Linked DNA regions of Lonchura striata. The protein of the gene in region 1 binds, or shares a complex with, the protein of each later gene. Links are inferred from orthologs where the notes say so. Each region holds a gene or a part of one and is shown on either strand. Other genes may lie near its edges. The genes, in order: INTS2, INTS7, INTS4 and INTS12.

Region 1 (7,807 bases):
AAAGGAAGAGGGTCATTTTTTTAAAATACAGTTTTCAGCTCCAAGGTTTAACTATATCACCTGAGCATCTTCCCACTGTGAGCACTGAGAATGAACATTTTTATCAGGCAAGTATTACAAACATACAGTTCCCTGGTTTCCATGCCAGGGAATAACCAAATAGCTGCTGCCTTCGGGGACATTATTCATAGAGAGCCCCATAAGAGAAGGTTGCCTTATAAAGGTTTCTCCAAGACGTGCAACGGGATTTATGTGCATTCAGACAAATCTGCAGCACACATCCAAGAGTTACATCAAGCTACAAAAACATTTCTTAAAAAGCAAAATACTCTAAGATTTTCTCACCTGTTGCCCATTTCGGATGAAAGTTCCAAACCACGTCCGAACCTTTGCATTTGTTCCAAGCAGCAAACCACTCACAAAACACACCAGATCACTCACTCCATCATCTGAGGATTCATTCTTGGTGTGATCCAAGGTCAAAGCCACACCAAGACCTGGCAGGTGACACTCCTCCACCTGGATAAAACACTCAGGCTCAGTCATCTTTGTTGGGTTTGAAGCTCAAGGAAGGTTCTTAATTTTGATTCTCAGGACAAACTCACCACCATGCCCCGGACCCTCAGGGCTTGGGAAGGGTTCATCTTGCACAAGTGTCGAAGAGCTTCGGTCCTGCGCCGGCCTCCGACGCTCTCCTCATCCTGCCGCTCGCCGTTCTTAATCAAACCTCGGCACACTAAAGGCCCAAGAGCAGCTCTCAGGAATCTGCCCTTCCCAACTCAAATTAGCATCAGATAATTTGAATCATCAGATGGCTCAGTGGAATGGACACAAACCGTTGGCAGGGATTAGAGGAGGTTCTTAGCCCCCACCATTCCCTGCCCAATCAGCCTTTGTAACAGTGCCCTACAGATGAAAAGCTGTGACACATACAGCGAGCCTGGCCTGCAAGCAGGCTGCAAAAAATGGGACTCAACATGCTCAGGTGGCAGCATCCAGCAGCTGTACAACTCCTGGTTTAGCCCAGAATTAACCACGCTGGTAGAAATCACTTCAAAAGCTGGAGAAGAAGCTGTAACTCACCCTCGTTAAAGCTGTCAGGGACATTGGCCACCAGCAGGCAAAGGAACCAGGCTCCATTCTTAACGTGCAGCAGAGCTTCAGCCACATCCACTATTGGCAACAGAGATGGCAGCTCTGGGTGGAAAGAGGGTGTTAAAAGTCACAATGTTTCACTGGGAAACGAAAGCTGCACTTCTTAGATTAACCTTACACATGCCACAAAAGCTCCTAAAGTTGCTTTGTTACATTTGTGACAGGTCAGAAAAGGCCATAAATACAGAAACACACCTGCTTGCAAAATGCAGAGAACATCTGCTGCCTCCTCCAGGTAAACAGGACTCTCGAAGAGCTCAGAAGATTTGAGGAAAAACTCGCCATTTGATTCTGACACCTGTGAGACAACATTTATCATCAGTGAACAGGTTTCATGAAGCAATTTGTCTAAATCTGTTTTAAATTCAGCATGTTTAATAGATTAAAAACTGCCAAAACCATAAAGCTATCAACACAGAACAAGAAGGAAAAGTTTGTAGAATAAGAAATATTTACTACTGGAAATACTTCAACACAGATGGTATCATTGCTTCTTTTCAGAAGAAAAATAGCCCACTGACATTCTAAGTTTACACAAGGAAAATAAAATGCTTGGTGAGGAAGGAAGTGGGGGAAGAGAAATATGATGGCTAATACCACACTGCAGTAGGAGCAAAGAATGGGATGGAGAGAAGTCATCACTTCATTTCCAAATTATTTCTGCACTGACAGATCACCAAATCGCATTATGTTTGAGTACAGCATATTATAGAGTCCCTATAACATCAGGAAATATTTCCTTTAGGAAGTCACAAAGACTTTAAGCACAAGCCACTGTTCAATCAGACTGAGACTGAATCTTGATAAAGCAGGTAAGGACTACAGAAGAGTGCTCACACCACCAGCAGCACCAGAGACACAACCAGTTCAGAGGGCAACCTAAAACTCACAAATATTCCCCTACAGGGGAGTTCACCTTGTTCATAATGGCCAGCAACTCGCTCAGCACCAGCCGGAGCCGCCGAGGAGAGTCACTGTGCTCAAATTCCAGCGTCAGCCCGTGCTGCAGCTGTGACACCAAGATGCTTTCTCCGCTGCCACCTCCCAGCTTGTGCCTGGCACACAATTCAAAAATTCAAAACAACAAGCATTAAACGTTTCTGCAAAGACAGAAATGCTTCCAGCTAAAGGAAGGCAGCAGTTCCCTAGGGATCTTTTCTGTCCTTATTATAAAGACTGCTGTACTGCAGTACAAGAAAGCTAATTCAGTACATTATCAAAACTTCAAGTGCTTCTATTCCCCAGCAGCACAAAGCGTCAGGAAAGGGCATCCACCTGAGCTGTGCCTCCATCCCACAGAGCCATGCCAGCCCTTCCCTGCCGGGCAGCTCCCGCAGCGCATCCCGCACCTCCGCGGAGCACGGCGGGGACAGGTCCCAGGACACACAGCTAAACCCCAGGGCTTTCCTAGGACAGCATCGAGGGACACGAATGGCCGGGTTTAAAAAACTGCAGCAATCGGAACAGCTGGAAAAGCCACACAGCGCTTCCGCCACGCTCTCTGCGTTACCGGAGCTGCTGCTCCTTGCTGGCGTCCTGCTCCAGCGCGTGGAAGTCCACGGACAGCAGCGCCACGATGGAATTGACCGCCTCGACCCCCGAGAGCAGCCGCAGGATCAGCTTCTTGTCCTGCGCCCAGCTCTGGCTCTGGTCGGCGGGCGCGCACAGCGCCATGCGCACCAGGCAAGGCAGCAGCAGCCGCAGCTCGGGGTCGCTCAGCGCGGCCAGGCGCACCACGTCCACCTTCTGCATCGCCTCGAAGGCGTAGGGGCTGACGAACTGCAGCGCCGAGCACTCGGACATGGCGGCAGCCGCGGCTCCCTCACGGCCCCCGCGCCCACCCGCCGCCACTACCGGGGGAAGCGGGAAGTGACGTCACGGCGGGAGGGCCGAGGGGCGGGAACGGCTGAGGGGCGGAAAGGGAGAGGCGGGAAAAGCTGAGGGGCGGGAAAGGCTGAGGGGCACCGCCCTCCCCGCCCCCTCAAGAAACCCACATCACAATCAAGGCTTCATGAATAATTTATTCCATTTGAATTTTTTTTCTTTTTTTAAAAAGTATAAACCTTTTTTTGTTTTGTGTTTTTTTTTTTTTCTTCTTCATTTCCTCGATCACAATTTGTACAACTCAGTGTTTATGGCATTCGGCAGAAATAGTGTTTGTTCCTTAAATCCGCTTTTTCTTTTCTGTGTTTTGTCACGATGAAATGCGAGGCTCCCTGGCACATCCAGCCGTGCCCGAGGGGTGCTGGAACAGCTCCGGGACCTGTCCGGCGAGGCATTGGAACAGCTCCGGGACCTGTCCGGCGAGATGTTGGAGCAGCTCCTCGGTGGTGCTGGAACAGCTCCAGGACCTGTCCAGTGAGACATTGGAGCAGCTCCTCGGTGGTGCTGGAACAGCTCTGGGACCTGTCCGGCGAGGCGTTGGAGCAGCTCCGGGACCTGTCCGGCGAGACGTTGGAGCAGCTGCGGGACCTGTCCAGCGAGATGTTGGAGCAGCTCCTCGGTGGTGCTGGAACAGCTCCGGGACCTGTCCGGCGAGGTGTTGGAGCAGCTCCGGGACCTGTCCAGCAAGATGTTGGAGCAGCTCCTCGATGGTGCTGGAACAGCTCCGGGACCTGTCCGGCGAGGCGTTGGAGCAGCTCCGGGACCTGTCCAGGGAGACGTTGGAGCAGCTCCTCGGTGGTGCTGGAACAGCTCCGGGACCTGTCCGGCGAGGCGTTGGAGCAGCTCCGGGACCTGTCCAGCGAGATGTTGGAGCAGCTCCTCGATGGTGCTGGAACAGCTCCGGGACCTGTCCGGCGAGGCGTTGGAGCAGCTCTGGGACCTGTCCGGCGAGGCGTTGGAGCAGCTCTGGGACCTGTCCAGCGAGGCGTTGGAGCAGCTCCTCGATGGTGCTGGAACAGCTCCGGGACCTGTCCGGAGAGGCGTTGGAGCAGCTCCGGGACCTGTCCAGCGAGATGTTGGAGCAGCTCCTCGGTGGTGCTGGAACAGCTCCGGGACCTGTCCAGTGAGACGTTGGAGCAGCTCCTCGGTGGTGCTGGAGCAGCTCCAGGACCTGTCCAGCGAGGCGTTGGAGCAGCTCCTCGGTGTGTCCGGCCGCGGTGTTGGGACTCCCCGTGTGTCCGGCCGTGCCGGTGCGGTGCCGGAGCGGCTCCGGGCGTGTCCAGCCGTGCCGCGGGAGCAGCTCCGAGGTGTGTCCAGCCGTGCCCGAGGGCCGCCGTGTCCAGTCACGAGGCCACAAGGCTGCAGCAGCCCCAGGCAGCGCTCGGCAAGGTCCTCACGTCCAGTTGACTCGGAAAAAACCTAAAGCTCGATGAGTAGCATCCTGAAAAAGTGACCCTGAGGATTGTGGTAGGTCCCAAATCCAGTTTTACTGTAAATTAAGCTTTACTCCGCTGAAAAGAAAAAGTACACCCACAAATAATAGTAAAAAAACCCTTTAAGAACGAAGCGTAGTCCTGGGCCCTTTACTTTAAAAAAATGAAAAAAAAAAATAAATAAAACAAACAAAACCACCTTCCCAACTGGAGGTTGCGAGACAGTAATGTTGTACAATGTCACGCCATGAGTGAATTCTTCAACAAAACCCAGATGAAAACAAGGTTGATGCAGCGTTACTATCCCAACAGACTGATATGTGGTGCCGTACTGTTGTGCAGCAAATTATATGGTGCAATAGCATTTTTAAAAAATGTTTTACTCTTATTCTTGAAAGCTTTAAAATAATGCAACATAATATTTTGATATTACAGTATTAACAAATAGTGCTTGATTAAAGACATCGGCAAGTCTTCATAGCAACACACAAAGTTAAAATTACCATCAGAGGTAAATATAGAAATACAATAATCTGCGCCATAACTGACAGCTAAGTAAGAACATAGCTGAGGATTTAAATATAAATCCATTTATCTTTAATTATTTCAGAGAATGTTAGAAATATCTAAATGTTACAGCTACTTTTAAAATGTGAGGGCTGTTACAAGTACAGCTGGTGGCCTTGCTGGTCTTAGCAACATGGTTTTCAGAAACCTAATTCAAATAGTAGTGAGTCAAATGTGACTAAAAGGCTTAAATGCAGTAACATCTGGGTTAAAATATGTATTTTTTAATTGGAATGGAAGGATCTCGGCTTCTTTCATTGGAAGAGATAAACCTCCACAGCTACTTAAAGCACTGACACGAACAACATTTTCTTGCAAGGCCGTTTTGGAAACCTGTAGCTGAATTTTTCAACTACTTAAGCTTGTACTTGCTAAACAACCTCGATTTATTGGATTCTGACAATTTTATTTATAAACCACCTATTATGTGCACTTAAAATAGTTAAATGAAAGTAGCTAACAAAAAAAGTATGTCAAATATAATAGTTGGCTCCATGGTGCTGGCAGGTTTGATTGTACATTGCCAGCTGTGACTATCACTCCAGAAACGGCCCTTCTAGTCTTTTATAGTGGTTATAATATTATAATTTACTTTAAATTGCATTTGATGGGGGGGGAGGAGTGGGAAACTGGCAGCTTTCACAGTAGGAGTTTCACAGGGAAGGCTGGTCCAGGTAACAGAATACAGTTACACCAAGGTTCAGGCAGCTGATTCACTTACCTTTAGGAATACAAGTCAGATTGAACACAAAACAAAGCCACACCAAAACCCAGCCCTTGGAACTTGGTTAACTGAGCCAGGGTTAGAAATGACCACTTAGCAACAAAGCTCAAGGAAAAAAAGGACATACACTTTGAAATTTCCAGTTTTAGGAGCACTTTTCCACTTCAAAAATGCCAACCAAATGAGAAAAACCTTCTGTAAGACAATAATGTGCCGTTTAATCTGCGGTGCATTACCGAGATAAAGTCATGGACAGACCCAGTTTTTAACTCTATTTATCAAAATATGCTAACTTCTGATTGCACTCATGTTGTTCTGAAGAAATGACTGAAAATTCTCATCACCAATTGTACAACTTCTTTATACAAAACCAAAAAAGTTGCTAATATTGTATGTACACGATTCAGTGAGACTGTTCATACGAAAAAAAAATCACCTCAGGCAGGTCTTTTGCATTTACGAAACGAGATTTTCATGAACACAGTAAGTTTGGTAAATGCAAGCAAATTCTTCCTTGTAGAGGGGTTAACAGCAGGTGCACAAATAGATCTTAAACCTTGCTCCTTTACAGGTTTAAACCAGCGAGACAGACAATATTAAGACCCAGGACTTGGGTTATTGTGACAGGCTCCCGGGAGCACTGCAGGAGTTCAGTTTTTCATCTGGCAGTCAGATAAGGAACGCAGAAAAAGCATCTGCAGCTGCTCTTCAGCACCCGTAGGGGCTATTTTAGAGCAGCCACAGACATTTGGCGTGTGCTAGGAAAAAAAGGAAGGAAACTACTGAGAAAAAATGGTGACTGTAGATAGAGGGAGATGTTTAGGAAAGCCTTGTGGTTTGTCAGTCCCTTCCTTGGGGAGGGCAAAGCCTCCTTGGCACATGCCCCAGCCAGAGCCTGAAAATGGGATATGGGGAAGGCCATACATTGATACTTGGGACCTTCACCACAGTGCCAAAAATACATGGAAAAGGAAAATGTTCAGGGTTTCGTGCTGTTTTTTTTACTAGTGGAATAAAATCTGAATACCAGAATTCACTGAGAATCTATATACACCACATTTTAGTTAAACACACACCAATCTTAAAGTCAAGATTGACTATATTTTTGCATTTGTAAAATGGCTAGAGCTGGGCTAAATTTCAGCCTGGCAGGAGACTTTGGATAAGGTCAGAGTTTTCTGTGTGTTCCACCTCAGATTCGCATTTTATCACAAAAGCAGAAGCAAACAATGCAGTGAGCACGGTGCCAAGAATATCCAGGGAGCAACAATGCACAAGAGATGTTCTTGTGATATTAAAACTCGTGTCCTGGAAGTGGATCTGAGAATCTAGCCACAGCCCTGAACCATAACACAAACTTCAGTTGAAGAGTTTATTCATGTTATTCTCACTACAAGTTAAACCACCTACAATATCACTTATATATTGCCATTGTTACTCTGTAAAGGTGTGATATAAAATGCTGTAAGACCCGGTACCTTTTCAATTTATATAAACACAGTGAACTTCATTACTGTACATGTACTCTGCAACTACAGCTTAGCTGTAAATCCCCCACACACAATGGTATGGACATTAACCCCTCTATCCCCGTTAGACTGTACATCAAGACAATACAAATTTACTGTCCCCACCCACCCCTTACAAAAAAATAATACTCTAAAAGCAACCTACTGCAACTTTTAATTAAGACGATTACATATATTTTAGACCAATTGCTTTAAAGCAAGAAGGCAGTATAAACCTTCTAGGAAAATTTTTATAAAAGAGGTTAAGAAATATAAGACAATTTATACATTTAAAAACTTACAATAAATAAGAGATGCAGGCATTTTTGAATACTAAGTACTATAATCCAATACAAGAACATCTTGATGTTCTGAAGCCATAGGTTGAAACTTAATTGTTCCTCGTGTTTCTTCTCATCTCCATGCTTTTAAAATTCATTTACCATGACTGGGTACTATGGCTCATTACTCTTCACAAATACTGTGGCTGGGGAAAAATGGTTAATTTTGCTACTAAAAACGTTATAATACACTTT
Region 2 (7,170 bases), on another chromosome or scaffold:
TACCACATACAAGCCACATATTTCTCACTACATTTACTTAGGAAGAATTCTGTGAATACCACTGTCCCCAGAAGGAACATTTTGTTTGTTGCCCAGATACCCACCACCAAGGGAGCAAGTCCTCTCAGGTTCTGCCTCCTCTTCTTCAGTTTGGAAGGAGTCTGCTTCTCAGCCACATTGTGTGCTCCACTGATTTGATTTACCTGCCTGTAAAAGCCATCTGAAAGAAATCAAAGACATCTCAATTAGTAGTTTATATGCAATTTTGCTATCACTTTAATAAAACAGGCATCAGTTTGGGATTAGACCTAAAAGGTAACTTAGGTTAACCTTTAAAATCATACATGCATCCTGAAAACAAAAATTACTTATATACAAAACCAGTGAGAAAAACACAGTGCAAAAAACTGCAGAGGTCAGTGTAGCATGAACATTGAAACTAAAACTGATCTAGGCAGACTGCCTTTGGAAATTATTACCCCTTTATCTGTTTTTCACATGCATCCCGGTCTGAGTGTTCTACCCACTCATCCCAAGCAGAACTGCACTCACTGGAAGATTTCCAGTGCTCTATTTTATAATTTCCTGTTCAGCCTTTTGTCTATTACCTTTAGAAATGTACTGCCTTACTAGAGTAAGGCGACTGTTCTACTTTTTTTTTTCCTACACCTTCCACTTCAATCATGTGGAGTCAGTCAACTTTTCATTCACTTGCCTGCTTGAAAAGCCAAGGAACCTGGGACAGATGGAAGAGCAAGACATGTTCAGGCAAAGAAACTGGTGTGGCAGAGCAGGGAACTGGGAAATGGCATAAGGGGAAGGGGCTGGAGAAGGAAAAGCTCCAGGAAACAGAGGAGCAGAATGAGCTCACATATTTATAGTAGGTGCTCCCACAATATATTCAGTTGCTACCAGCACTCACAAGCTCCTTTTTCTTACATTTTCTGCCTTCCTTTCTACTCTGGCAGGAGCCTTTCCAGCTTTTCCTCACCCCTCTGGATGGCTCTGACCTAAGCAATCTCTCCTATCTCATCTGCTTTGCACTGCCCTAGCAGGGATGTATTCTATACAGCCTCATGTCTTTACCTACACACATGGAATTCTCAAACCAGCCTGTGGTTTGATGCTGCACATCATCAACTGCTGCAAAGTAGAGAAATGTCTTATACATATATAACAGAGATACCTATTCCATTCTCTTACAGCACCTAAAGCAGTAAAGTTATCTGAGAAGCCTCTGCTGCCTACATTGTAATTAAAAGTATCAGTCCAACAAGTCCATCTGAGCAGTCCTTTTACACGAGATACCAAGCTTTGTTGATACATATTTGAAAGTTTATTTACCTTTCTTGTTGCACCTGGTATCCCAAACCATGATGTTTCCATCTCTCCCTCCAGTACAGAAAACAGCTGCAAGAAAAAAAAGTGTTATTACCTTCTAAAAGCATTCATTTAATTAACTGAATGCAGTACAATGCACCTATGTACCTCTGGCTCTTCTGTCCCAACACTTGTGATGCCAGTCCTGGAAATATAAAACTCAGGCCATTGTTTTTCCATGCTTTTTGACTTGCTATCTTTCCCTTACTATCCTTTTCTTACTCCCACTAGAGAAACCAGCTCATGGAAAGTATATTCACACGCTTGGGTATGGAAGCAGATATCCTATCTTTGCCCAAGATCAGCAATGTGCTGATTTTAGCATAAGGACACCATCGAGTTCTAACTAGACAGTTTTGCTTTCCTGGCTGGGTCACTGCTCAGGCCTGTGCTATTGGTACCCGTCAGTTTCCAAAGCCTTTTTTCAGCCCTTAAAAGTACTTTGCCGGGGGTAAAGAAGGAAAAAACAGACAACAGGGAATACCAACATTTACCTTTCTCAAATCTAGAAAAAGCAACTGACTTGAGGCTACACTGGTGACCTTTGCATATGCCAAGAAGCTCGCCAGCTCTCACATCCCACACCTTGGCTGTCTGATCTCCTGAAGCAGTGACCTTCAGAGGGAAAAATAAAAAGCTTAAGTCATTTTCTGTACAGAGGTGCCAAGGCATTAAAAAAAAGAGATGGCAAAAGACTACTTACAATCCTGTGTTCTCCTGGCACCCAGGCAAGGTCAAACACAGCATTTGAGTGAGCCTGCCATTCTAACAAGAAAACAAAAGCCAAGATTAGTTCAGTGCATCGCAGCATGGTATTTTGCAAATGACATCTGGATTGTCATGAAATCAGAAATCTTGTCAACAGTTTGCCTTAGGCATGAAAGACAATACAGAACAATTCATCTACTACTGCAGTAAGAGCACATTGTGTTGCTGCTATGCAGAAGGAATAAAGTACTGCCTAAAATTTACGTTTTAAGGACTTGCAAAAAGCTCTCTTTGATTCCAGCAAGTCCCACACTTGTCACATCAAATGAAGATCACCTTCTATACATTTACCTTTAAAGATGAGCTTGCTGGTGGTCTGTGCTTCAGTATCATACAGTCTAACAAACCCTTCTTCATTTGCAACTGCCAGGATGTGCTCCAAATTTGGGGCTGAAAAGAAATTGAAGCGTATTATATTATGTAGCTAATACAAAATCCTACCCTTGCTCTTTGTGAAAGCCACAGATGTTTTAAATAGGGAATGCAGCAAACATAAAGCTGTGAAATAAACAGCATTTACATAGCAACCTAACTGTAAAAATACAGAAATACTAGCAAGCATTTTTTCTAGATGTGCCGTTCTAAAATGACTATACATGGGCAATCAAATGACTCCAGAAACAACTTTTGAGATAATACCTCTTCCACCAGCTATAGCAGTTTTCTAGTTACAGTTTCCTATCTCTAGAGTACCTATCATCTACAGCCTCCAGCATTTTCCATGATCTGACTTGGAAAAGAAGGAGGCCACCTTAGAGAAATGTAAAATCTCATGCCAAAACTAGAGTACAATGAATGAAGAAGTTTTGCCCTAAAGATCCAGGAGCTCCATTGCTTACTCCTTTCCCCCATCATGGGGAAATGCTGTGTGTAACTCCTGGTGACATCCATCCACCTCTGATTTCTACCTAATGTTCTCCACCCTATTATAGTTTTTAGATATTTTGAATAAAGCCTAGTTTTTCGCCTATGTAGCCTCACACTATCTCCAAGAGGACATGCCTTGAAGCACACACACAGATGAAACAAAGAGACACTAAAATAAATGCTTTATAGTTGCTTCTTTGAGGGAATACTTTCCATCAGTATCTAGGTGCACCACGATCCAAAGTTTATCACGTGTAGGAGCAAGCAGGCTGCAGGAGCAAGCTCACTTTAAAACAAGAAACTGCTGAAACAGAACCTATACCCTGGCCCCTCAAAAGATCATTCAGGAGGTGAATTTACCTGTAGAAAAGGTGCAGCCGAAAGGAGGGACTGGCATTCCCGTTCCCCCGTACGACAGGTGGTCATCTTCTCGGCTGCACTGGTAGCTGTCCAAGAGATGCTGCAGGGGAAGCGCTGAGGACCGACCTACAACGGGACAGACGGACCGTAAGCGCCTCAGACCCCACAGGCTCGGGCGCCACGAGCCGCAAGGCGGCCGCCGCGGCTGTGCGGGCGGCCGGGGATGGATGGGGAAGGGAGGGCGTGCGGGAAGGCGCGGGACCGGCGGGGAGGCGCGGGACCGGCGGGGAGGCGCGGGACCGGCGGGGAGGCGCGGGACCGGCGGGGAGGCGCGGGACCGGACGGGAAGGCGCGGGACCGGACGGGAAGGCGCGGGACCGGCGGGGAGGCGCGGGACCGGACGGGGAGGCGCGGGACCGGACGGGGAGGCGCGGGACCGGACGGGGAGGCGCGGGACCGGACGGGAAGGCGCGGGACCGGACGGGAAGGAGCGGTACCGGACGGGAGGCGCGGGACCGGCGGGGAGGCGCGGTACTCACGGGCGGGCGCGGCGGCGGCCCGGCGGAGCAGCGCGCGGCACAGCATGGCCACGGGGACACGGCCGAGCCAGCTCCCGCCAAACCACCGGCCCGCCAAGCGCGCCGCGAGCCCTCATTGGTCAGCGGCGAGCGCGCCGCGCCTCGCCCGCCTCCTCTGATTGGGCAGCACGGGGGTGGGCGGGCCGCGCCCGCCGCCGGCTCCCGCGGCCGCGCCGGGCGGGCGGGGCCGGGCGCGCGGCTGCGCGTGCGCGGACCGGCGGCGAGCGGCAGCCATGGCGGCCAGCGCCAAGTCCTTCCTGGCCGACGCGGGCTATGGCGAGCAGGAGCTGGACGCCAACTCCGCCCTCATGGAGCTGGACAAGGGTGGGCCCGCGCGGGCTCGGCGTTGTCGCCGCCCCGGGCAGCGGGGCTGGGGCGGGGGCTCCGCTTGGCAGCGCTTTGTGCAGGGCGGGGGCGGAGGAAGGAGCCGGGGCTGTGCGGTGATTCCTGCTGTCTCCTCTAGGCCTCAGGTCCGGCAAGCTCGGGGAGCAGTGCGAAGCCGTCGTTCGTTTTCCGAGGCTCTTCCAGAAATACCCGTTCCCCATCCTCATCAACTCGGCGTTCCTGAAGCTAGCCGATGTTTTCAGAGTGGGGTGAGTACTGCCCGCTCGAGCCTGCTCCGTGGGAACGCACTGTGCCTTGGAGTGTGGCTGCGCTGGGATCTGGCATGGCCTGCTTGCCTGCCAGCACCGTTCTGGTACCCGGTCTGTTGCGGCTGTGCTTGATTGGAACTTGTTTTCCCCTTCTTTAGTGGGCTTGAGTGGCTGTGAGTGATGACACAGTTCCTTTCCATCTGTCCTGATTTGAGGATTCTCTCTCTGACTGGGTTAAGTTCACTGGTGTAAGTTTTGCTCCATAAGCACATTCAAATCATAACTCATAAATGGATGGATGATCACATGTGCCAATTTTAATCTAACAAAGCTCACAAAGTATAGCTTTTCCAAGTGCCTGGTGTCTGAGTGATGTACATAATGTAATCAAAACTCCTTCTTAAAAGCTTACAAAGGTGTATTCTGATGCTGCGGAATCTTCACTCTTGCCTTCAGGAAGGAAAATAAATTTGCTCAGCACTTGACAGTGGTAATTAAGACTTCTCTGTCTTAGTCTTGAATGTGTTTTTCCAGCAGATCTGGATCCCTGTGTGTGCACAAAACAGGCATCCTTACACCCCTCCTCACTGGTGTCAGCAAGTTCATTGCCCTGGAACTGGGCTTTAATTTGACACTACCTGAACTAGAAAATAAAGCAATAGTATGTTAATAGTATCTGTTTTACTCTATCAGTCTACGCAAATGTTTCTAAAGCATTGATATCTCCTTGTTTTAATTTGCTCCAAAAGTTGTAGTTAAATAATTTTAGTATTTAAAGTACTTGAATTTTTGTTTCAAAATAGCCTGACAAGGAAACGTATGTGTTTTCTAACAGGAACAACTTCCTGAGGCTGTGTGTGCTGAAAGTTACTCAGCAGAGTGAGAAGCACTTAGAGAAGATCCTAAATGTGGATGAATTTGTCAAGAGAGTTTTCTCAGTAATCCATAGCAATGATCCGGTTGCTCGGGCTATCACACTGCGGTATGTATGGCATGAGTGATCTGACTTACTTCAAATCTGGTGAATGATTCTGATTTACTTCAAACCTGTAGGTCTATCAATGTGCCTGTCTGGAATAACAAGACCAAATGCAAGGCATTGCATCTGGGCCACGGCAATCCCTGGTGTCAGTCCAGACTGGGGATGAACAGACCAAGAGCAGCCCTGCCTAGAAGGACTTAGGGGTGCTAGTGGATGAAAAGCTGGACATGACCCAGCAATGTTCACTGGCAGCCCAGACAGCCAAATGTGTTTTGGGCTACATCAGAAAGAGCCTGGGCAGCCAAAGGCCAAGGAAGGGGATTCTGCCTCTCTGCTCCCCTCTGCTGAGACCCCTCCTGCAGTTCTGTGTCCAGCTCTGGGGCCTCCAGCACAGGAAGGACATGAACCTGTTGGAGGGAGTCCAGAGGAGGCAACCGAGGTGGTTAAAGGGATGGAGCACCTCTCTTGTGAGGAAATGCTGAGAGAATTGGGATTGTTCAGCCTGGAGAAGAGAAGACTTTGGGGTGACCTAATTGTGGCCTTCCAGTACCTGAAGGGAGCCTACAAGAACGATGGAGAGCCTTTAGTGATAGGACAAGGGGAAAAATGGCTTCAAACTGAAAGAAAGTAGGTTTAGATAAGATACTGAGAAAAAATTCTTTATTTTGAGTGTGGTGAGGCACTGGAACAGGTTGCCCAGAGAAGTTGGAGGCATTCATGGATGCTTCATCCATGAAACTGTTCAAAGCCAGGTTGGATGGGGCTTTCAGCAACCTGGTCAAGTGGAAGATGTCCCTGCCTATGTCAAGGAGTTTGGAACTAGATGGTCTTTAAGGTCCCTTCCAACCCAGGCCGTTCTGTGATTTTGTGAGTTAAATAAAGGAGGCTTTTTATACATTGCTCATAGAGTTAAAAGCAGAAACATCTGTCTTTCAAAGGCATGAATGATAAGGATTGGTAATAACAAGGACAAGGTAGTAACCACTTGTGATGGTAAGAATTTTGTGAATAAGTAGAACAAGGTTATTAACCATTTATGATGGTAAGAATTTTGTGGATGGTCCCAGGCAAAACATAATTTGCAGTGTTGAAATTTTATGTACACCAGAGAAGAAAACTGAATCTGTTGTATGCATAACCCAGACAGGAGCTATATGTGATATATCTCATCTTGCTAGGATACTTTTAGACCAAGTGAAAGTGCTTCCTTTTGTGTCAAAATAGTTTTTGTTAACTTGCAACCAAAACTTACATGAACCTTGTTATGCTTGCACTATGCTATTCATTCTGCCTTGTCCTAGCTAGAACTGCTAGATGATCTCTGATCAATAACTTCTAAGGAAATGCTGTTATATTACTGATTGCTTTGAACTTCTGGGAATCAAATGGGAAAACAAAATTAATCTGTCTTTCATGTCACTGTCCTGCTGGTTTGGTGACTGTGTCTCTAATACTATCCAACATGATCCTTTTAACTGCATTTTCCAGCCCCTGTGCAGGTGAATTCAAATGTGAAGAGAGCACTTTCTTTCTTTATATTCTTTTTGTGCCTCCATCTGGAACTGTTACTGCTGGGAGATGGGGAATCATTAACAGAGCTTTGATTGATGAGGTCAAGTGTCCATTTCTTTTTTCTTTCAGT
Region 3 (7,991 bases), on another chromosome or scaffold:
GAGCTCCTGGAAAATAGGGTTGTTTATTGACTCACGCCTTCCCAATGGCAGGTGTGGCCCTGGCCTGGCTTGTGACTCGCATTACAGTAGTGCTGGCAGGAGGAAAGGAACTGTCTTCTTTCTTTCTTCCCTTTTCTTTTCACTTGCTGAGTACTACATAAAATGACCAAGTGCGAAGGGAAGCTGGTAAAATTTTTCAGAACTGAATATACAGGAAGGCAAATTTTAAAAATCCAGCTTTCCAGGTATTCAGGCCTCCTTCAATTCACACAATGGTGTTAATACAGAGGGTTTAAAAATGCAAACAAAACCACAATCTTTACATTTTTTTCCTCTTAAGTCCATGTCAGTTGCATGAAATATTTCCTTTACTTCCTAACTAAAGCCATACTTTTTAAGGTGCTTTGCGAAACAGCTTCTGTCCTTCACCTCCAACATTACGGATTTTTGTGTCTTCAGTGTTTGCAGCTGAACCCCCAGATGAGTGGAAGCCAATTCCACCCATTATAAAGAGCTTTAGTTTCTCCTTTGAAGAGGAACAAACAGTTCAGATGATAAAAATGAAGTGGCACAGCTTTGGGCTCTATCTTTGTCCCTCTGCACAAGGGGTGGGTGAGAGTTGCTGTAGGTGGCCCACAGGGACAATGCTTGTGAGTGACTTAGGAGATCAGTGTTGGATCCTGTAGTCACTCCCAGATTTCCTAGGCAGGGTACTTCTTTTCCGTCTTTCCCACCAGGAAAATGACACTTTCCTACATTCCAAGGATGAGGTGAGGACTTTGTCATTTAGAAATGTCCAAGTCTCTGCTGCTCAGGTTGTGAGAGTTGTATTAGCATTCTGCAGATGCTTTTTGCAATAAATCAGGTGGAGGTTCCCATCTGATACCCACAAAATGGGAGCTCATACTGCTCTTCACTCATTCCATCCTTCAACCACAACAATCTGCCTTTTCCTTGACGCTTCCATGTTGATGACCTCAAACTGATAATGAACATCGCTTTTCACTTTTTTCTTTTTCAGTTGTCACCAATTGTGGAGTTAAATGTTGGTGGGGAGATGTACACGACAACACTGAGCACCTTGAAGAAACACCCTGGCTCTAAGCTGGCAGAGATGTTCACCGGCCAGCCCAAACTCAGGACTGACTCTGAAGGGAGGTTCTTCATTGACAGGCCAGGCACCTACTTCAAATACATCTTGGAATACCTGCGCAGTAACCAAGTGCCCACCCAGTGCATCCAGGACGTCTACAAGGAGGCGTTGTTCTATGACATAGAACCTTTGATCAAGCAGCTTGAGGACTCCCCACAGATCTTTGGGGAGCTCGTGGCGAGGAGGCAGTTTCTGGCTCGTGTGCCCAACTACAGCGAGAACATCGAGCTGATGATCCGCATCGCCAGGGCGGAAGCGGTTGCATCCCGACAGTCCAGCGTCATCGTATGTGTGGTCAGAACCGAGGAGGACGCAGCCAGGTGTCAGGATGTCTTGAACAGTTTGGACATGGATAAAAAATCTGTGGTGAAGTTTGGCCCCTGGAAGGCTGTGCCCAGTATTTCTGATCTGCTGGACTGCATTCAAATGGATGTTGAAGCCAAAGGGTATAAAATATCCTTTCAGCCCCATGTTGCTGAAAAAGGTTTTCGCTTCAAATCGCATGACTTCTTCTACAAGTTCCTGTTCACCTGGTGGTAGCAAAGTGCTGCCATTGGTAGGGAACATTAGAAAGCAATCACTGGAACAAATTAACCTGGACTGTGGAGACTAAACGACGAGCTACCAGAGGGACAGGAAGAAACACACAGGCCAATGAAAGGATCTCTTTTGGCTGTTTGCCATATCAAAGAGCACTTAAGAGCCACTTTACTTGGGCTTTAGGGGATAACTTTTTAGGGGATTTAAAAGGCTCCAGAAAAGGGACAAATTTTACTCTTCAATGTTGCTTACTATTCATTCAGTTCAAAGAGATGGATCTGTGAATAGAGCCAACCTCACTCAACCTAAGGGAAATGAATAATCCCAAATATGTCTCGTGAACATGTAGAGTTGCTCTCTCAGTGCAAATGGGAACAGGTCATATATGTGGAAATCCTGACTGAAACAGTGATATTACCACATACTTGAATTAAAATTGGTTTCTAAATGGGAAGGCAAAAGCAATTTTTCTCTCTCCTTTCTACACTATAATCTGGGTTAAAAGGAAGGATTCAGTTCCTCTGATTGCTTCTTATTCCTCCAGCAGACAGCCTACTCTCTACTCAATGTATTTATTACAATTATTTATTATTTGTTCTGAAGGAAAGACGGAGAACCTCATCTACGGTCCATGATCAACAAAAGGCAAAAACATCACTGATGTGAGGAGTTTATAATCTAAGGACACACACTCCTCTTTCAGACCACACAATCTTAATCTCTTTCTTATGACACTCATTATTATTATGATGCTATTTCTAACTACATAAGCTCCTGGAAGAATTGGGAAAACCTGGCACGATTTGGTGGGAAGGAAGTGGTACTGAAGCAACAGCCTACAAATTCTCTTTTACAGAACACAAGTTGCATTCTACAATGTGTTTTTAAAATTCTTAGAATTTGAAAGTTTATTTTTATACTGGAGATTTTTTTTAATCACTCTGAGAATCATAATGGTTGATTTGATAAGGATCATATTTCTTTTACTTCTTGGAAGATTAATTTCTTCCAGTCAAGGACAATAACCATAGAATCATAGAATGGTCCCTGAGATTTCAAAGGAATAAATTTTACAATTTTTTTGGATGATGCATAAGTGATTTATTTACTGACATTTCCCCCTCAAGATCCCCAAATTCTAAAGACCTGAAGTTTTGTCTTTAGGGAACAGATTTGAACCATTCCTAATTAAGCTGTGTTTCAGATGTGCTTATCCTAGCATGGACTTCCCCCCAGTGACAGCCATGAGTCACTCCAGCAACTGCGGGGCAGTTCTGCTGTAGGGGTGAAGGGACTCTGAGATCTGTCACATTCATTGCCTTGTTAAGAATGGATGCAGTCAGTGTCTGAGAGGACAAAATGTTTAGGAAATAGGCTCTTATGATCATAATCAAGTGGTTGGTGGTGCTCAGCCTGGAAGAAGAGAGATAGAGGAGGCCTCCCAGTAGACAAAAGGATGCTTTAAAGAGATCTGTTACACTTTGCACATACTGAGGGTGGGGAAACTGGCTTAAGTCACAACAACAGAGATGAAAATTAGACATTAGGAGGAAAAAAATCTCAGCATAGAATAGTTAAAGCCTCACACCAACCAACCTCCTAAGTCTCTAGGACTGCTGCCATGAGAAAATTGAATTGGTACATGCTTGAATCCTGCATTCAGTTTGGTGTCACTCACTCTAGGAAGGACATTGACGCCCTGCAGTGTCCTGGAGAAGGGCAATGGAGCTGGTCTGGAGCACAAGTCCCATGAGGAGTGGCTGAGGGAGCTGGGGGTGTTCAGCCTGGAGAAAAGGAGGCTCAGGGGGACCTTATCGCTCTCTAAAACTGCCTGGAAGGTGCTTGTAGCCAGGTGAGAGACAGGACAAGAGAAATGGCCTCAAGTTGTGCCAGGAAAACAATCAGGAAAAATGTATTCACTGAAAGGGTGGTCAGACATTGGAACAGGCTGCCCAAGAAATTGGTCGAGTCCCCATCCCTGGAAGTGTTAAAAAAATGTGCGGCTGTGGCACTTGGAAATAGAGATTAGTGGTTGGCTTGCCAGTGCTGGGTTAACAGTTGAACTCCATGATCTTATAAAATTTTTCTGACTTTAATGATTCTACTACTCTGATGGAAATAAATTTTCTAGTTATTTTTAATTAATTTATTAATCATAAGCAGTATATTATTTATTAGCATTGCATTAGTCTTAAGTCACTTTTAGCCAGCACGTAAGTAAGTTTCTTTACACAAACTGATATTGATAAGAGTTGGATTGGGAAAATCGCTGAAACTTTAAGTTTTGCTAAACTAGCCCTGATATGCTTTGATGAACAAAACCTGCGAGAGATGTATTTTTGAAAGTGGACACAAAAAATGCGGCATTTATAGAATATAAGGGAACTTTGCAGAAACCAGAAGATAACAAAGATTCTTCAGGATGTGCTGCAACACTTCCTACCTGGAGTGTTGCAGCACATCCTACAAAGAGTCTGAGAAATGGGGGCTGATTAACGTGAGAAGGAAGAATAAATAACCAATAGAGGACAGAATACTAATTAATGAAGAGAATTATTTAATAGAACTGATGAACATTGTGAAAAATGCCAATCATTTGATTTTTAAAATGTTAAAAGTTTAATAATTATAAAATGGTTATAAAATAATAATACAATTAGAGTAATAAAGTTTAGAGTTAGAACAATTACAAGACAATAAAAAGCAAAGAATTACGGATGTCCGGATGCTCTCAGACACTAAGTCACAAAAAGCACGTCTTGTGAACAAAGGAATTACACTTAAAACAATACACTCGTTGCATATTCATATATCCTTCATGGTTATGCATTTAAAACAAGAAACTCTGTCTGTTGTATGCCAACTGTTTCCTTTAAGCCCCATGGCATCTTCGAGTCTGAGCAAGGCCTGAAGAAATTGGTTTCTTCTGATAAGAAGCCACAAATTCCTCTCCTTTGGAAGATTTAGGCGTTCCTCGAAGCAAGTATTTAATTTCTAAAAAAAACAATTCCCCCCCCACACATAGTCTCTATTTTAACATTATGTTGGAACCTAAAACTATATTTAACACACTACGTAAGAGAATTAACACAGCATAACTTTCTAACATTACACATACAATATTCACGGTAATATTTGCGAGAAGCCAATCGTTAAATACGCATTTTTCAAAAACATCATTTCTTTGCTCGCTCAAAAAGCACCCAGAGGTGGCACAGCCGGGTTAAAAGCGAGTCCCAGCGAACGGCGGGCGCAGCTGTCAGGGAAGCCGCGGGCGGACGAGGCCGCGCCGCCCCTCCCGGCGCCTCCGCGGTTCCTGTTCCGGCTGCGCGGCCGCGCCATGGCGGCGCACCTGAAGAAGCGGGTGTACGAGGAGTTCACCAAGGTGGTCCAGGTAACACATCCCCCCCAGGCCGGGGTGGCGGCTGCGAGCTCTGCCTGCGGCGGGAGCGTGAGGCGGAGCTGTGGGGAAAGCCGGGGCTCGCCGGGGCCGGGGCGGCCCCCGAGGGGTCGGGCGGGAGCGGGCCGGGGCGGCCCCGAGTGCTTGTGGAGTCTCCCTCACTGGAGATGCTCAGGAGCGGTCCGGACACTGCAGTGCTGTGCAGCGTGCTCTGAGGTGAGCCTGCTTGAGAGGGAGCTTGGGCGAGAGGACCCGCTGTGGTTTCTTCCAGCCGGACCCGATGTGTTGGTTCTTTGACCTGAGCAGGGCCGTCACTGCTGCGGGGAAGAGGAAGGAACTACGGCGAGTTGCTGGGCTGCTCCGGGCCGGTGGGAGAGGGAGAAGTCGTGTTGGCCCCGGATTAGTTGTTTGGACCCAGCCTAGGGTGGGGAGAGGCCGTGTTTCGCGGGGACAGCGACCACCTGGGCAGGACAGTGACAACCGCTGTGGTGCGAGGATGTATTTTTTCTCAGATGGATGAAGGAGAGTGACTGCCGTGGGACATGGCAGCTTCCTTAGGCCTCCCCGTGTTCAGTCTGGGAGGAGTGGGTCTGGATACACTGTGTTTCTGAGCTCTGTCCCTCTGCCCACAGCAGCAGCATGAGGACCTGTCCACTAAGAAGCTGCGGCTGACCAAGCCCAGCAAGTCGGCAGCGCTCCACGTGGACCTGTGCAAAGCCACCTCGCCCGCAGATGCCTTGCAGTACCTGCTCCAGTTTGCCAGGAAGCCTGTGGAAGTGGAGAGCGTGGAAGGGGTTGTCAGGATCCTGCTGGAGCATTATTACAAGGTGGTGAAGCTGGGAGTCAAACATGCTTGCTCCTTCTACTCCTGTTTGCTTGGTGTGGGATGTTGAACAGGGGCTCACAGGCTCCTGTGTTGCTGACTCAGTTGCCACCAGCCTGGGCTGAGAGTGAGCAGCTGTAGCCCCTGACCCAAGTGATTTCTGATTGTGATACTTGACGTCTGTGCTGATGGTTTCACCAGCCTGTGACAAGTTATCTCTGCACGTGGCTTGTGTGTAAGTTAACTTGGCGAGGGACAAAAGACGTGTCAAGTTTTCCAGGGAGCCCAGCTGCCTAGAGCTGTTTCAGCTTTATACAACACTTTCCTGACTGATGTGCCCTTACCTTGTTCTTAATCTTCTCTAGCAGTGGAGAAACCTTTTAGTTATTGCTTATGTAGTAAAAAAGAAGCACTTTTAAAATCATAGACTCATGGAATTGTTTGGGTTGGAGGGACATTAAAGATCATCCACTTCTGACCCCTCTGCTAGGGGACACCTTCTGTTAGACCAGGTTGCCCAAAGTTCCATCCAGCCTGACCTTGAGCATTTCCAAGTATGAGGCAGCTTCCCTGGGTAACCTTCTCTGGGCCAGTACCTCACTGCCCTCTCAGTGAAGAATTTCTTCCTAATATCAAATCTATGAAGAAAACTGTCCAAACTTCTCCAATTAGCAAGCAGTAGAACAAGGAGATGGCCTCAAGCTGCTCCAAGGAGGTTTAGCTTGGACATTTGGAGAACTTTCCACACTGAAAAGATTATCAAGCACTGGAACAGACTGCCCAAAGCAGTGGTTGAGTCACTGTCCCTGAAGGTATTTCAAAGATGTGTAGATGTGGCACTTGGGGACACAGTTTAGTGGTAGACTTGTCAGTGCTAGGTTAAGGGTTGGACTTGATGACCTTAGAGGTCTTTTCCAACATAAATGATTCTCTGATTCTATGAAATACAGAGTTCCTGGTCAAATAACAGGTTCATTGTACTTGAAATTTGTTTTGTAGCTTGTATTAGAAGAAAGACTCATGAACCTGCAGACAGGATCACACTGGCAAGAGCACAGCCTGTTACAGGATCCAGCTTTTAAAAATACTGCTTTCAAAACTACCATAGCTGACATTATTTTACTTACAGACAAAATTTTCGAAAGAACTTGTTTCTTAGTACTCCATAACACACTTTTCCTGGTCATCCAGAAACCTGACCCTGAAAGCTGTAACTGCAGTGGAAGTTATGTGATGATTTATTTGTTTGAAGTGTCATTGATTTGTTTAAGATGGTCTGTAGCCTCATGCTCTTTCATCCCTATATATTTTGGTAGGGCAGTACTGATGACAGCATTCATTTTTCAAACACATAGCTTCAACCCTAAAATAAAAAATGCATCTCAGTTTAGTTGAGAAAGGGACTGCTACTTTGGGTGTCACATTTGTCACTTGGAGGCTGTGTGTGGCACTGAAGTCTCTCTTAAATACTTGACAGATATAACAGTTGTAACTGTAAAATTTCTTGTTGAAAGATGGGATATTTGTTAATGTAATTTTTCTGCAACTCTGAATGTTGCACAAATGCTGATAAGATCCATGTATGACACCCAGATGACTTTTTGCCTTTCTACTCTACATTGGATGTCCTTGGCAATACAATGAGAGAGGGTCCAGTTATGACCCAAAGTCTTGGGTACATGAGTCTCTAGAAACCACGAAATAAATCTCGAAAATGCATGAGCTTTTGAAATTAATTTTAAAGGAATATTCATTGATGATGGTTACTTATGTAATTATCACCTGTGACAGCATTTGCTGTTTCTTAAATGAGTAGATGTATATAGGTAATATATGCTGTTTTCTTTTTTTTTCTTTAACCTTGCTGGACTGGGGCTTTTTTTGGGTGTTGTTTCCTTCCAGGAGAATGATGCCTCTGTAAGACTGAAGATTGCATCCTTGCTGGGGTTGTTGTCAAAGACTGCAGGATTTTCCCCAGACTGCATTATGGATGATGCCATTAACACCCTTCAGAATGAGAGTAAGTCTCACTTTTGATGTGATGCTTGAGGTCAAGGTGGAATCATGCTGTCAAA
Region 4 (7,742 bases), on another chromosome or scaffold:
GGAAGCTGACATCTGGAGATTAAGTGGACCTCAAGATCACCAGCGAGGCTTTTTGTCACACACTGATCACCCACATCTTCGCCAGTTGGCACTAAAAAAACTTTAAATAATTTGCAGTCACAATAGGATAGCAAAAACAGTGAGATAGATGTATGAAGAGGAAAGATACTATCTCTGTACTGATGAGAAAAAGCCAAATATAAATGTTCTTCAGCGACATTATCTTTCATCTTCTTCCTGAGATGAAGTTCCTGAAATAGAAATCAGAGTACGACATCCATAAAAGAATACAGAATAGAAAAAAGAAAAGAAAAAAAAAATTAGAGCACTGGTTCTTCCACTATCTGCTACAACTGATTTTAACATAAGACACTACTAAAGACATCCTGCATCAATAATTGGCAGGCCCTTAGTTAAGGGAAAAGAATGCTTTCACATCTACACTGTCTCTTCACATATAAGATCAGGAATAGGAAAATTACCTCTGTAATTTTTTTTTACACTTTAGCGTATTTCTGACACCAACCAAAACCTAAAAAAAATGTTTCATTTTCAATTTTTAAGTACATAAACATTTTAAAGCAAGTTGGGTTTTTTACATTAAAATCTTCCACAATATTAACCATGCATTATTTAAAAAAAAAACATTTCCTGAGCACATATCTACAACAGTCAGTTCTCTAATACAAACATCTGTCTTTTTGTAACTGCTAAATGGCATTTAGAGTAGGTATTTAGGCCTATTTAGGGAAATAATATTGGTTTTTGTATTAAAAATTAATCCAGAGCTGGGTGAGATAATAACATAAGCAAATAAACATTCATCTCATGATACTACATGAACACCTTAAACACACAACTACTTTAACGCAGTCAAATTCAACAATAGCAAAGCTGAAATTAATATCTTCTCAGTATATTAAAAACTCACATTAATTTTCCTTACAGTGGGTTGCAAGCTACATTTTTCCTACTACAGTATTCCACGGGAGTTTAACACAAGGCGCTGAAGCAGTAATTTTTCTACTCCATCGCTCAGCAGAACTGCCCATTACCTGAGATGACAGGTGGCACCGGAAAGCCTCAGACACTAGATGGCCCTCGCGGCACAAGTGACACGGGCACAGCAACAGCGCAGCGAGGAAGAGAAACCCCAACGCTGCTGAGAAACGCCAGAATAGGGTTTTATACACATATATATAAAGCATGAATGGCACTAGAACAACACTGTCTAGATTAATGAGGTCTTTGACAATTACACGCATGATACAAGTATTTTTTAAAAAAGTTTTAATTTCATACATCTTGATTATTCAATTTATTTTTTTCCATGTAGACATGAACATCACACTTACTATTTCATATTACCTACCAGAGGGCCAAAACAATTGCCCAAAAGGGGGGAGTGGAAGAATAAAATCAAGTCTACCTGACATTAAGAATACTGATGTCTGTTATAGTGAAACATTTTTAAACCACTAAATGACAAAAAAAGTGTCTCTGCTACGAGTACTGCTGCTTTTCTTTAATTAATACACTGCCACACAAAGAACAGGACAGTACACAATGCCATACCTACTTTACCACAAGATATTTTATTTGGATAAATCTTGACAACATGGAATCTGAGACAGAGCCTATATCCTAAGTACACCTCTGTGGCAGAAATCATCCAGTGAAGGCACAGCCAGAGAGGTAAATCAGAGAGAGTTATTGCTACCGTAGTCATACCCATAGCTTCTAGTATTTAAACTCCTATCCTCAACTACAGTACCTCTTGCAATATTAAAAAGTACTCTTGTATGCATTTTGGTTAATATTTTTGTTCTCCATGTGAACTCAAAGAACTCACAAGTCCATCTTTTGCTCAGCACGCAAACCACTCAGATAAACACATTCACCTGATCACTCAATTTTTTTATTCTAGTTGATGTTCCTGGACTCAATCAGCTATTTTGGTCATTCTCATGCTATGCAAAACTACTAAATATTTTGGTAAACTCTGACAAGGTTTCTATTTCCAAAGTATATTATTCTATAGTTCCCATCTATTAATCACCTGTTGTTAAAATTTATTTTTAAAAACTTCTTACAAGTAATTTTAACAAACTGGGCTTCCATAATGACTGCAACTTGATATACAGGTCATTAGAATATCAACACATTCAGTCTGGATTTATTTGAATTGTTAGTTATTGCAAAAATGTCTATGTTTCTCCACCACACTGAACAGACTTCTTTCTCAGAGAGCCTTGCAAGGTTAAAGTTTCCCGTGTTCCTGTTACACGTGAAAAAGCAAAAGCACAAAGAGAATTTATAGCTCAGTGTCACACTGGAAGTCTGTCCTAGTGCAAGCCAAAAATTTGGACATTTTTCCTTAAAGGCTTTGTTGTTTGGTTGGCTGTGAGATTTTGGGGGTTTTTAAGGTCAGTCTGCGACAATGAAAATTACAGTCAGGCTAACTGTATTCTCAAATCTCTCAGAGAAGAGAAGCTAAAATAATGTGTCCAGGAGTTCTGTCTATAAGTGACTTTACCTCTGTTTCCTCATTGTTTCCTGTAAGAAGAAAGGCCTTCTTGAATCATCACTTCAACTGAGCTGCATACCCTTATACTGCCACACCCAACCCCTCTCCCATATTTTTGGATAATTCCTCTCAACATTTTGTCTCTAAGCACTGACGTTATAAGGTCACCTCCTATATTTTTTGTTTCGAATACTGGTGCTCTTCCACACTGTTTGGTTAGACAGAATCTATATTCCTTGTGGACTTATGCACATATTTTCAATTCAAAAACTTAACAGCCTAAATGGTTGCCCATTCTCACTTAAATCTTTTCACAAAACTACTACCTATCCATTACATGTGTTTATTAATCCCTTGGCAACTTACTGAGAGAAAAGCAGACGTAGACATACACAATAAAATGAAATGTGCAATACAGAACTAACCAAACCTAGTAAGACATTGTACTGTTTGCTCACAGTATTTTTTCCCAGCACTTTTTTCTCTAATTAGGCTGTAAATTCTGTGGGAAGAGATGGATTTTTATTCTATTGGCCGTATTTACAGTAGACACTGTTTGAAAGAGAGAAAATGAAAAGCAATGTTCAATGTTACAATTTGCACTGTAACTTAAATGACAAAGATAAATAACATTGCCTACCTTTGGTATAAAAGACACCTACTTTAAAATTACAAATAATATGTAAATGTAAGTTTCACTAGCTGCGCTGTTTTTACCATTTTCTCCTCCCTTTCAACATGCTCTAAACCACAGTTAAATTAGGTCCACTCAGTTGCCCTGTTAACAACGTAATAAAGAAAAACACTGCTTTAAAAACAAGTGTTTCCCATAAAAATTAAAGACAAATAAATACATAAACATCCTCTTCCTTTTGAAAGGAAAAAGATCAAAAAGATCCTATTCATTTGTTGGTTTCTACACAGTAAAACGGAACTTCTGTAAAGCAGGCGCGTTAGCATTTGAGAAACGCTTAATATAATGCCACTTAACGCGGCAAACATTTAACTTGGTGCGAAGCATTATTTGTGCTTTAAGGCACGTCACTTGAGAGCCTGGAGCTGTATTTCTATCCAAGACGACCCATTTACTGCACGCGTTCGGGGCCAGCCCTGCTCAGAAGGGGGAAACAGAACAGCTTCGGACCCGAGCTGCAGGCGGGCCTGCGAAGGAACAGAAAGCTGTGGTCGGTTCTGGAGAGCCAAATGCGGGCGGGACTCGGGGACAGGGCCGGGACACGGGGACAGAGCCGGGACGCGGGGACACGGGGACAGAGCCGGGACACAGGGACAGAGCCGGGACACGGGGACAGGGCCGGGACACGGGGACAGAGCCGGGACGCGGGGAACAGAGCCGGGACGCGGGGAACAGAGCCGGGACACGGGGGACAGAGCCGGGACACGGGGGACAGAGCCGGGACACGGGGACAGAGCCGGGACACGGGGGACAGAGCCGGGACACGGGGACAGGGCCGGGACACGGGGACAGAGCCGGGACGCGGGGTCAGAGCCGGGATGCGGAGACAGAGCCAGGATGCGGGGGACAGAGCCGGGACGCGGGGACAGAGCCGGGATGCGGGGGACAGAGCCGGGACGCGGGGACAGAGCCGGGACGCGGGGACAGAGCCGGGACGCGGGGACAGAGCCGGGATGCGGGGGACAGAGCCGGGATATGGGGGACAGAGCCGGGATACGGGGACAGAGCCGGGATACGGGGAGAGCCGGGATGCGGGGACAGAGCCGGGACACGGGGAGAGCCGGGACGCGGGGACAGAGCCGGGATGCGGGGGACAGAGCCGGGATATGGGGGACAGAGCCGGGATACGGGGACAGAGCCGGGACACGGGGAGAGCCGGGATGCGGGGACAGAGCCGGGACACGGGGAGAGCCGGGATGCGGGGGCCAGAGCCGGGACACGGGGACAGAGCCGGGACACGGGGACAGAGCCGGGATACGGGGACAGAGCCGGGACTCGGGGACAGAACCGGGACACAGGGACAGAGCCGGGATTCAGGACGGCAGCACACGCCTGGGCTCCCGCAGCACAGCTCCCTGCAGCCCCGCTCCCTAAAGCTCTGCTCGCAGCTGCTGTCGGTGCAGCGCTGCCAAAGCAGCCCCGGGGCTCCGGCAGCGCCACGTTCCCTCCATCCTGCCCGTTCCCCGCTCCCTGCCCTTACCCGGCCCGGCCGCTTCCGTCCCGGCTCCGCCTCTTCCTGCGCCGCCCGGAACTGCTGCGCGGGGACTGCCGTGCCGCCGGACCTGCCGGGGAGCCTTCCTCCTCCTCCTCCTCCTCCTCCTCCTCCTCCTCCTCCTCCTCCTCCTCCTCCTCCTCCTCCTCGTCTCCGGTGAGACACCAGCGGGCGCGGAGAGGGAACTCGAGAGGATCGGGAAGAGGAAATTTGGAGTGGGAAGGGGGAAGGAAGAGGGAGACTGGGAGGGGGCAGAGAACGACTGGGAGGATGAAGGCAGAGGGGAGTTGAGAGAGGGAAGAGGGGGTTTGGCAACAGGAAGAGGGAATTTTGGGGTTGGGAGGGGAAGAGGGATTTAGGAGGAGGCAAAGGGGGTTTGGGAACGGGCAGGAGGAGGGAGATGGCGAGAGAGCAGAGGGGTCTGGGGAGGAGAAAAAGAATTTAGGAGAGGGGAGGAAGAGCAGGTTTGGTAGCGGCAAGAGGCATTTGGGAGGAGAAAAATGGGGTTGGCAGAGGACAGTGGGGGTGAGCATGGATGGGAGAAATAGGATGTTGGCAGGAGGGAGGAAGGGGGAGCCCTTAGGCACACCCGGCCGCTCTTCCCCTCGGGCCCGGGTGAGCTTTGGGTGCCCTGTGGGGCAATAATGGTTGTAGGAGGATGGCATTTTATTCTTTTAAGCATTCTAAAGTGTTGCTCTCAGATGAGAGGCCTTCCCTTCGTTGGTAAAAAGAAATCCCAGGGAGAAATTTGCAGCGAGTAGATTGCGGAGGGTCACGTCGTGGCTTTGGCGTAACTGCTTCAGAAATTCATTTTTGACTAAAGCTTGCTTCTCTCTCTGAGACATGATACCCAGGAATTTGTACACTTGATAAGTTTCAGTGTGGATGTTGAATAATGCAAAGATGAAAAGATAGAGAGGTGTACTCAATTGGCCAGTGTTTTAAGCCAATGAGCACTGGCATGTTGAAATATCCTCGGGTCCATTTTCTGCAGAATATTGAAGCTCAGTGGTAGCAGGGCTTAGCAAATCTCAGTTGTGCAGGTGCAATTATCACAAAATATCCTGAGTTGAAAGGCACTCACAAGAATCATACCATTTATCAGGAAAGGGATTTACAAGGAAACATCACCACTGCTGCATGGAAGAAGTTTGTTAGTGACAGCAGACACAGATAAGGGTCAAACAGTTGATGTCTTCTTTGTCACAGACTTGACCTGTAAGGTCTCACAGGGCCTTTTGCCACAAGGCAGAGCATAAGGAGAGGAGGAACTACAAGTTGTGGAAGAGGATTGAAGCAGATTGTCCCTGATAAGTCCATAGGCCCACGTAGACTTCATTAAAGGGTGCCAGCAACTGGCAGCATCTACACAAAGCTGCTTTCTGTCATCTTTTAAAGGCCACGAGACTGGGGGAGATCCCAAAGACAGGAGAAAGGCAAATCTTATCTTCATAAAGGGCAAGAAAGACAAAGAAGAGAACTACAGACTGGTCAGCCTCATTCCTTCCTCCTGTGAAAGGATCGTGGAGGAAGCCATTTGTGGCAAAAGAAGGTAGAAACTGGGAAGAGCCAGATCTACCAAGGATAAATCATGCCTGATCAATTGGCATGTCCTCTGTGACTAAATAGCTAGATCTGGAGATGGAGGGTGTGTTGGATACCATCTGCTCCGGGCTTAGGGGGATATAATGGAAGCTTGAATTTTCTTGAGGGTATTATTGGAAAGATATAGAGCCAGTCTTCATAGTCACATGCATAGTGGGAGAATGAGAGACAGCACAACTTAAAACCTCCAATTCAAAGCAAGGAAATGAAGGCAGTGAGGCATTGGGACAAGTTGGCCAGAAGGATTTTTGCATTCGTGTCTTTGGAGATTTTCAGGATCCAGCTGGAAGAGCCCTGAGCAAACTGGTCTGAATTCAGTGTCAACTTTGCATTGAACAGGAGGTTGCACAGGGTGACATTGTGGGGTCCCTTCCACAAGGAATGATTCTGTAATCCTGAAAGAATTCACTGTTTTTGTGGAGAAAACAGAAAATATAGGGCATTAATGTAATTTTTAAAATATTGGATAAGCTGTTTGTGGTGATATTGATTGGAATACTAATTTAAAAGAACATTATAAAATATGTTGTAGAATAGAATGTAAAATTAAGGATGCCAGTACTAGTAACTCCATAGCAGGAGATCTTATAAGTGTCTCAAAAGATTCTTTGAAGACAATGACAAGAAAATTAGAACGGATTAATACAATTGTTCTCATTAATACAGTTATCCAGACTACTGAAGTGCGTGAGTTTTGAAATGTCCCTTGTGGAAAGTAACTGAGAAATTATCCTGTCATAAATCAAGTGCTGATTAAGATAGTTAAGCAGCTGAAAATAGAAGTTAATTTTTTCCTCCTTTTAAGATTTTCCTAGATCTACTTTCTTCAGAATCATCAGATCTGAAAGTGACCTGGAAGAGGCATTATTGGTAAATAAGGAAAATCTGCCACTGTCGCTGTTAATAGATGTAGTCAGGAAGAGGGTAAATTCTGAGGAATAGAGGGATCCAAAGTGACAGGGAAAAGTGAATTGTTTTTACAGTGGTAAATGAAAAATAGTGCAGTGAGTGTGTTGGAAGGAATTATATAAGCTGTTCGTTCATGTGACTTTTTTAAGGTAACTGCTACAGATCTTGAAGGTCGCTGAAAAGGATATGTGAGTGAAAGGCCTTTTAATCATAAGTGGCAGTAAAAAATAAAAATATTGATGAGTTTATAAAAGGATGGCATAATAGCAGAAGACTTTAATAGCATTGCAATATAAATAGAAGATGTGTACTTTCTTTGAAAAACATCTTTAGTAGTATACGTGCCTCAGAAAATAATAACAGGAGTTCAGAAACAGATGGTTGAAAGTATGACTGTATCTGAAAATGTAATGGAAGTAGATCCATTTAGCTGCAAGTCATGATGAATAAGATAATACATGGGCAGGTGTGCAAAACAGTAGATGGCAAATGAATGAAAAAAAAAAAATAAGAGG

Evidence for each region.
Region 2: the proteins of INTS2 (region 1) and INTS7 are in contact, whole or in part, in a cryo-EM structure (PDB 8RC4), measured with the Homo sapiens proteins. The link is inferred for Lonchura striata from reciprocal best matches to the Homo sapiens genes INTS2 and INTS7. Residues at the interface, in NP_065799.2 of Homo sapiens: Gln27, Lys28, Val29, Cys48, Arg51, Met52, Cys55, Ala56, Ala58, Asp59, Gln60, Ser61, Trp64, Phe92, His93, Ala186, Glu187, Pro189, Ile194, Val218, Asp220, Ser221, Asn223, Glu224, Ser259, Leu262, Lys263, Arg265, His285, Gly294; in NP_056249.1 of Homo sapiens: Leu38, Gly39, Glu40, Cys42, Glu43, Val46, Arg47, Asn77, Phe78, Leu81, Cys82, Leu84, Lys85, Gln88, Gln89, Asn114, Asp115, Pro116, Val117, Ala120, Ile121, Arg124, Val153, Glu156, Val159, Phe160, Ala163, Leu195, Lys196, Pro199.
Region 3: INTS2 (region 1) and INTS4 share a complex: the UniProt entries of both Homo sapiens proteins name them as parts of the integrator complex. The link is inferred for Lonchura striata from reciprocal best matches to the Homo sapiens genes INTS2 and INTS4.
Region 4: INTS2 (region 1) and INTS12 share a complex: the UniProt entries of both Homo sapiens proteins name them as parts of the integrator complex. The link is inferred for Lonchura striata from reciprocal best matches to the Homo sapiens genes INTS2 and INTS12.

Annotation. Positions count from the first base shown.
Region 1 is NC_134622.1:9,345,329-9,353,135, reverse strand, and holds the start of INTS2 (integrator complex subunit 2), read right to left. Parts: upstream 3,007-7,807; 5' UTR 2,959-3,006; coding exon 2,666-2,958; intron 2,211-2,665; coding exon 2,072-2,210; intron 1,454-2,071; coding exon 1,351-1,453; intron 1,198-1,350; coding exon 1,084-1,197; intron 737-1,083; coding exon 606-736; intron 520-605; coding exon 346-519; intron 1-345. UniProt on the Homo sapiens protein: Component of the integrator complex, a multiprotein complex that terminates RNA polymerase II (Pol II) transcription in the promoter-proximal region of genes.
Region 2 is NC_134605.1:12,060,490-12,067,659, forward strand, and holds the start of INTS7 (integrator complex subunit 7), read left to right. Parts: upstream 1-4,169; 5' UTR 4,170-4,186; coding exon 4,187-4,277; intron 4,278-4,416; coding exon 4,417-4,546; intron 4,547-4,575; exon of another isoform or gene 4,576-4,726; coding exon of another isoform or gene 4,727-4,794; intron 4,795-5,381; coding exon 5,382-5,528; intron 5,529-7,170. Other genes in the region: DTL (denticleless protein homolog), read right to left, coding at 105-220, 1,345-1,410, 1,875-1,995, 2,084-2,145, 2,440-2,538, 3,376-3,501, 3,915-3,960. UniProt on the Homo sapiens protein: Component of the integrator complex, a multiprotein complex that terminates RNA polymerase II (Pol II) transcription in the promoter-proximal region of genes.
Region 3 is NC_134604.1:32,552,111-32,560,101, reverse strand, and holds the start of INTS4 (integrator complex subunit 4), read left to right. Parts: upstream 1-4,986; 5' UTR 4,987-5,033; coding exon 5,034-5,087; intron 5,088-5,725; coding exon 5,726-5,920; intron 5,921-7,818; coding exon 7,819-7,936; intron 7,937-7,991. Other genes in the region: BTB/POZ domain-containing protein KCTD14, read left to right, coding at 706-710, 1,022-1,693. UniProt on the Homo sapiens protein: Component of the integrator complex, a multiprotein complex that terminates RNA polymerase II (Pol II) transcription in the promoter-proximal region of genes.
Region 4 is NC_134606.1:47,849,241-47,856,982, forward strand, and holds the start of INTS12 (integrator complex subunit 12), read left to right. Parts: upstream 1-4,739; 5' UTR 4,740-4,869; intron 4,870-4,879; exon of another isoform or gene 4,880-5,328; intron 5,329-5,348; exon of another isoform or gene 5,349-6,265; intron 6,266-7,742. Other genes in the region: GSTCD (glutathione S-transferase C-terminal domain-containing protein), read right to left, coding at 1-251, 1,056-1,304. UniProt on the Homo sapiens protein: Component of the integrator complex, a multiprotein complex that terminates RNA polymerase II (Pol II) transcription in the promoter-proximal region of genes.